2 linked regions of the Neurospora crassa OR74A genome follow. The protein of the gene in region 1 binds, or shares a complex with, the protein of each later gene. Links are inferred from orthologs where the notes say so. Each region holds a gene or a part of one and is shown in the gene's direction. Other genes may lie near its edges.

Region 1 (3,400 bases):
GGTCGCGAATGAGGTTGCAAAGAAGGGCGGGCGGGCGGCCGAACCCTTGAGAAAGCTGAAGAGCTGAGTGGGAATGACTGGGGATGGAGGTCAAGCTTGGGTGAGGGTCCTTTTGCGGTCCGAGTCTTGTTGGTGGTTGGTCGGACTCGGGGGGAAATGGAGTTGGAGTGGTCCGGCGAGGCGGGTTGCCGTCATATGTATTCTTGTACTTGTTGTCTGTCTATGAATTCCTGAACTCAAGTGTGAAAGTGCGAGGAAACTGCAAGGTGGTGCGGGCTTCTTGCTTTTGGCTGCAGGGATATGAGGCAATAGCCTTGTTTGAGGGCCTTGCTATTTTACCTGGAGCTGTAACAGGAAGAACAGCAACAAACCGTTTGGTGGCAGTGAAGCTGAGGTGAGAATAAGCTGAAGCTCAAGGTAAAACTGCTCAAATCGATTGGAGAACAGGGAAAAAGGGGACGAGCAGAAACAAAACAAAAGGGGGCCCGGCATTGCAAATCTTCGCCTCTTTACTCCTCTTTTCACGATCCCACCTGTTGCCGTGGTAGCGGTGGTCTAGCCAAATTCCGAAAGACACAATTGGAGAATCAGCCGACGGGGGAGCGGGGACTTGGGGGAGAGTGGGAGACACCATCCTGGCTGGAGCTTGGTTGCGCCGAGGTTGTCATTGGTGGTTTGGGTCAGGGCTGATGGAATGTTTCTAACCAGATGGGGATGTTGCTAGCAATGGACGACTTGAGTCTCAACGATCATCTGGGGTACGCTTTCAGAGATGGGTACTGTATGTATATCGCTGTCTAACTTGCCTCTGGAGTCGTCGGGTAGAGATACTATGACAAGCTGTTTGCAAGCTGACTTGAGATGGTACATGCCCGGGCTAGCTGTCTGATTGTGTCCAGAATGGCCGCACTCATTATCTTCCTTGACAAATACAGACGATTCAACAGTTCATTGTCCAATAATGACTTCTCATAAAATGTGCTCATTGTTAAACTCTTCTTAACATCAACTACGGTCATTGAGTCCTCACATGTTCTGTTGCTGATGCCTCAGACTCTCACACTTTCAGAGCTTCAACTACAGCTACTTCCCGAAAGCGTTAGTGTAGTCAAAAAAGCAGCTATGTAAAGAGCATGCATGAGACACCCCTCCCGACTGGCTCCACACTCTTCGTCCAAGTTTTGGCGCGTCCCCTTCTTCTCTCTTTTCTCGCGTTACTTAGGAGCCTGCTTACCTAATGCAGGGTACGTACCTCTAACCTGGCATCCCCGTCCCGCAAACAATTTTCGATGGGGTCCCCGCGTCCGGCGGGCACGACGGACAGCAGCCGGCCGGCCGGTCATCAATCAATCAATCAATCGATCGATACGCGGCGTCAACCGTGGAATCCCCATTCAGTTGCCGGGTTTCGGTCCTCTCGACAGCCAACTAACTTCAGCCACTACTCGCTCGGTAACAGGGACAGAGTAACCGGTTGCCCAAGATGATTCAACTAAAGGTTTGTTTTTTTTTCTTCTTCCCTTGCTGTCGAACGAAAGCAAAAAGAGTTTGGTTGCTAACGAACCATGCGAACTGCAAACAGACGATGCTCAACTGCATCGACAACTCGGGTGCTGCCCTGGTGGAATGCGCCATGGTTGTCGGCCAAAAGAGGCATGCTTCGATTGGTATGCTTTCGAATTCCCTTTCGATTTCCGTTATACACCCACGAACCCATCGTCGACTCGAGCATATCATATCTACACGAACTACCCGATCCCTCTTTCGTACCCCAACACCAACACCGTCGTCGCCGTTCATACCCGTCCCATCCCGTCCGATTCTTCTCGTCCGACCAAGGAACATCTGGTCTTATACACATATCATACTTGCCTCTTGCCCCTCTTGTTCCTCCCTCCCCCTTCTTTCCCCCCTCTTGTCCCCCTCCCCCTTCTTTCCCCCCTTCTTTCCCCTCCTCATACCTCAACTAACAGAAGAAAGGCGACCGCATAGTAGTAGTCGTCCAAAAACAGCGCGGCGCCGACTCGGCCGGCATGGCCGCCTCTTCGGCCGCCACCAAGGTGAAGCGCGGCGACATCCGCCACGCCGTGGTAGTGCGCACCAAGCAAAAAGTCCAGCGCCGCGACGGTTCGGTCGTCCGGTTCGACGACAACGCCTGTGTCTTGATCAACAAGGCCGGCGACCCGATCGGATCGCGCATCAATGGTGTGGTGGGCCAGGAACTGCGAAAGAAAAAGTGGAGCAAGATATTGAGTATGGCGCCTATGCAGGCTTAGCTAGGCTTGATTGATCGATCAGGGAGGATATATGTACGATGGATGTAGCGGGAGAATCAAGATGGAATGAAATATGAATACCCGTAAAGAAAAAGAGTTGAGTTTGTTGGGGTGGGATGTGGCGTGACGCTCCTTGAAGTGAAGAGGAGTATGCTCGGTGGGATGTGTCATTGCGGTGACTTGGTGACTCTCGTGGGGGGTTTGGGTGTCGGCTCAGCTTGGGTTGGCTGTGTTGAGGTAATGACTGACGATGAGCGCTACGGAACATCACTTTGTTGATATCTGACGGAACTGTGGTTTGTGTGTCTACGGATTTCCAGGATGGACTTGGGATGGCCTGGCGTATACGGGTTTGAGACTGCGACGTTGTTCTCAAGGTACGACGGCTTCACACACCGGACATCACACCAAAATATGGTCTCATCGAACGGCCTTTCTTCAAGCGCCATTTTGGGTAACGATCAGCCAGCAGCAGCCGTCACATCAGTCGATTAGGTTTACCAGTCACTTCAGTTCGGGACATCAAGCGTGCCGTCCTAATCTGTGTATACTACTGTACATTACATGTCATGTCAAGCAAAACAACATCACCATTGCATATCACACGAAACAGTTTATAACGTTATCCACGAGATTCATGGAAAGACCATTTCTAAACCAGTGTCCTGCCAAAGCATGAAAAAGAAAACCAAACGCCCTAAACCGCGGTCCTTTTGAGTTAACCGTGTACAAACGCCACTGTAATGCAACTCATCATGACCCCCTGATCTTTATTAATCAACCTGTGATTTTTTCCGACCGCCCGCCTGTCCGCCTATAACAAGGATCGATCTGGCCCTATTCCTTCCGAGTGAAGAGTGAATCCCCCACTACTGGTAAATATTACCACAATCGCAGCAGACGTAGAAAAGTTTCTGAAAGTAACGTTGTTAACCCATGACTCTGGTGAGCCCCTCCCAGGCAGGTGAGTGAGTCTTACCATTCCGGTTTCCGAAGTACGCTGCTGTGACTGGAAGAAGACAGCTTCCGGGTGGTGGCAGGCAGGGCATTCCTTGATGGCTCTTGGGAGCTAGATAGCAAACGAAAGAAGAAAAAGAAGAGATTAGTCTCGATGCAAGCCAGAG
Region 2 (3,448 bases), on another chromosome or scaffold:
TGCGAGGGGGATGTCGAGCTTCTTGGATTGCCCAGGCTTGGCGGCCTTTTCCTCCTTGTTCATGAGCTTGAGAGACTTCTTCATGTGGGGGTCCTGGACGCCAAGGAGGCCGAGATCTGAGAGACTGAGTTTGTTTGTTGGTTTCGAGCCTGATTGCTCCTCGTCGTCGTTGTCGTCGCCCGCAAACCCGGAGATCATCTTTTGGAGGTCGTCGAGCTTGGAAGGGTCTTCCATATCGTCGTCACTGTCTTCGCTTTCGCTCGATTCGCTGTCCGCGTCGTCTTCCGATCCTGACTCCTCTTCGCCCTCCTCCTCCTCGCTGCTTTCATACTGATCCAGTGCTGTGGCGAGATCGATGGCGTCGGAACCGAGCGACTCCAAGTCATCGTCCTCATCTTCGTCCTCTTCCTCCTCATCACTGTCGTTTCCACCCTTCTTCGCCTTCTTGCCCTTCTTGTTGGAGCTGCTCCCGCTGAAGGCATAGCCATCGAACTTTTCCTCGTCGCTCTCACCAAAGGCCTCATCAGAGTCGAGTTCGGAATCTTCGTCATCAGCGCCTACACCAACGTGCCACTCCTCGCCATCGCTGTCCTCGCCACCGTCGGAGAAGCCTTCGAAATCGTCGCTGTTTTTGGCCTTCTTCTTTTGTGGCCTGGCGTCCTCGAGATCTTCCTCATCCTCGTCTCCGTCCTCATCGTCTTCGTCGTCGCCATCTCGTTGTCTCTTCTGGGGGCGCTCTTCGGGCTCGTCGAGGTCTCGTGTGCGGACGCCCTTGGCTTTCTTTTGGGGGACTTGTTCGGCGGCAATAGCGAAGGCGTCGAGGACGTTGTTTCTGGATTTCCTATCGGCAGTCTTGTTGTTGACTCTGTGCTTGGGACGCCCTCCGCCGCCCGACTTGGGCATTAGAGGCCTGCCGTGGGCTTGACGGCCGGGCATTTTGCTGGTATTTGAGAATTGACTGATTGGAAGTCGGAAGGTAATTCAGTCAATTAAGTTCGAGGTCGAGCAAGCAAAAATTGGGTGATGAGATTGTCGACGAAGTCCAGTGGTTGGATGGAATGAATCGATGGATGTCAATGTCCAACTTTTGCCTGCACGGGTCCTGGAGGTCGAAGTGGTCAGGTCCCTTCAACGGCAACTCCCACCAAGCCTTCAACTTTCTGCCAGTGAACAAGCTCCCCCGAAACTTTTTCTGCCGCCTCTGTAATCGATAATTTTCGGGCGGTGAGGGCGCAACACCCACCCATTTTGCGGGGCCGCAGCAGGCTACAGGGGTACCTGTTTCTCCCAGCCTCACGTCATTGGCTCAATTGAGCTCCAAACTTCTGAAATGGCTCCACCTCAACCCGGCGCGGCCCCGGACGTCTTTGCGATTTCTCGATTCCAACCCCGTCGCCCGTCGCCCGTTGCCCGTCGCCGTCCGTGTTGTCCAGCGCCAGTCCGAGTCCGAGTCCGAGTCCCGTCTCCGTTCCTGTCGCGTGCGCCGGATCTTCAACACTCTAAAGCGGATCCCGTCTCCGTCCCACTTGCGCCCACCTCAACCACCCTCACCACAGCGAGGTGCTTCCACCACCCAGATCACCGACCACAAAAAGCAATTCTCCGTCGTCGTTGCCCCGCAAAGCGCAATCCTCCTAGCCCACCATGCAGCCCACTCGCATCCTCCAAGGTCTCAAGTACCGCAAGTTGCGCCTGACCACCAAGGACGTCAACAAGGGTTTCTACAAGGGTAACCGCACCGGTTCCATGGGTACGCACACCAGCTACGGTACCTACAAGATCGACTACACCAAGGTCCGCACCTATGTGTGCCCGGACCTGACCGGTTTCAAGGTGGGTGGTCCTCTATTTCCGTCCGGGTTTGGGGTTGGAATGGGATGTGTTGGGGGATCTGGTGCTAGGGGAGGGACCGAGAATGGAGGACAAAAGAGAATAAAAAAGAATTATGCTAACAAGATCCAACAACAACAAAGCTCACCCCCTTCGTCTCCAAGACCATCCGCCCCGTCCACGACCAGTTCCCCGGCGACAAGCTCGGCCCCAAGAACCCCGCCACTTACCTTGCTCGCTGGAAGTCGGAGAACGGTCTCGACTAAACGGTCGTCATTTTTTCAAGGAGGGAGGAGGAGGACATTACGATACCAGACCACGGCGAGGAAATGGAGCGAGGCTCACTCAACTATCAAACTACCAAACGCAATATATACCCAAGTTCTGATTACATTCCGAAAGCCTGCCGACACAGACCCGTTCGAAGGACCACGAGCCACTCTCCACTGTACATTATATGACCTGACCACCAGGAATCAACCACCTAGCAGCTCCACTGTTCTGGGTCATATGTGAAATTGGAACATGTCCAGGTTCTCTGCCTTTGGAGTCGCCACGCTGCTACCTAGGCTGATGGTCTCGACATTCCTACCATTGAGATACAGCCTGATAGCTAACCATACGTATTCAAAGAACACTCGCCTTCAGAGCTGCCTACGATACATCTCCCCTTTCGGATTGGTTCTTTGAATTTTGATGTCACGATGATCTCGCCGTCACATTTCTTTTCTTCTAGAAGAGACAAGGCCGATTTATATGACTATACCCAAAGGTGTCCAATGGTCCCTGTCCGAGATTCAAGGGGGTCTTGTTTCAGTTGTTAGATTATTGAGGGAGCGAGATCGGGGATTTTAATAGGGTTAGGGCTTAGGTCACTCTTGTTGATTGTTGCCTAACCTCTATTTGCCCTTTGCCTGGTCGCCTTTGAGAAGGTGCGTTGTGTGCCTAGCAATGAGGGGTATTTCTACCTAGAGGTAGTTTCGCGGGTTTCTTCCTTTCCTTACCTTCAGTTACTTTATTCTAAGCAACCACCGCCTCCCAGAAGAACCTTTCTCTGGCATGAAGCAATTCACCTTCGGCTCAAGTTTCACGACATACAAAGGGATCACCGAATTCAAACGAGCGAATCCCGTCGAGAAAGTTCGCCCCAACTCGCCAGTGCGCCCCATCAATCCCATTTGTTTTGCATGAACTTGTCTATGGTCTTTCTTTCCCTTGAATCTCCTGGCCACCCAGCTCTTCCTGAAGCTGCAAGCCTCTCCTCATTCACTTGATACCTTGACATGTCATCTGCCCATCCCACAACAGACCTAATCATAATCAACCAACACCATGAAACCATCTGCCCACTTCAACCATGGACCGATCGACAATGCCTTGGCAGAGGAACCCGTCATGAAGTCTCGCTACCCCCCCAGGCAGCTTAACAAGCTCTGTGATGGTTGCCAAGCAGTGTTCCCTACGACTGGGCCGTGGTTCTGGGACCTGGAAGACGCCGTGCTTGCCGACGAAGATGATTGGCACCTGCGGGATTTCAGCATTTGTGACCTTCACGAGTCGGCAGGGGCGGGCTGTCACTTGTGCAGGGTCTTTCTGGACTCCCTACTTCCACCCGATA

The links.
Region 2: NCU08552 (region 1) and NCU07057 share a complex: the UniProt entries of both Schizosaccharomyces pombe proteins name them as parts of the mitochondrial large ribosomal subunit. The link is inferred for Neurospora crassa OR74A from reciprocal best matches to the Schizosaccharomyces pombe genes mrpl38 and mrpl27.

Annotation. Positions count from the first base shown.
Region 1 is NC_026503.1:4,951,329-4,954,728, reverse strand, and holds NCU08552 (mitochondrial 54S ribosomal protein YmL38/YmL34), read left to right. Parts: upstream 1-1,186; 5' UTR 1,187-1,483; coding exon 1,484-1,498; intron 1,499-1,582; coding exon 1,583-1,667; intron 1,668-1,980; coding exon 1,981-2,276; 3' UTR 2,277-2,795; downstream 2,796-3,400. Other genes in the region: NCU08553 (DNA directed RNA polymerase II 15 kDa subunit), read right to left, coding at 3,146-3,190, 3,256-3,345. UniProt on the Schizosaccharomyces pombe protein: Component of the mitochondrial ribosome (mitoribosome), a dedicated translation machinery responsible for the synthesis of mitochondrial genome-encoded proteins, including at least some of the essential transmembrane subunits of the mitochondrial respiratory chain.
Region 2 is NC_026506.1:333,740-337,187, forward strand, and holds NCU07057 (hypothetical protein), read left to right. Parts: upstream 1-1,363; 5' UTR 1,364-1,644; coding exon 1,645-1,833; intron 1,834-1,973; coding exon 1,974-2,096; 3' UTR 2,097-2,869; downstream 2,870-3,448. Other genes in the region: NCU07058 (small nucleolar ribonucleoprotein complex subunit Utp14), read right to left, coding at 1-936; NCU17062 (hypothetical protein), read left to right, coding at 3,163-3,448. UniProt on the Schizosaccharomyces pombe protein: Component of the mitochondrial ribosome (mitoribosome), a dedicated translation machinery responsible for the synthesis of mitochondrial genome-encoded proteins, including at least some of the essential transmembrane subunits of the mitochondrial respiratory chain.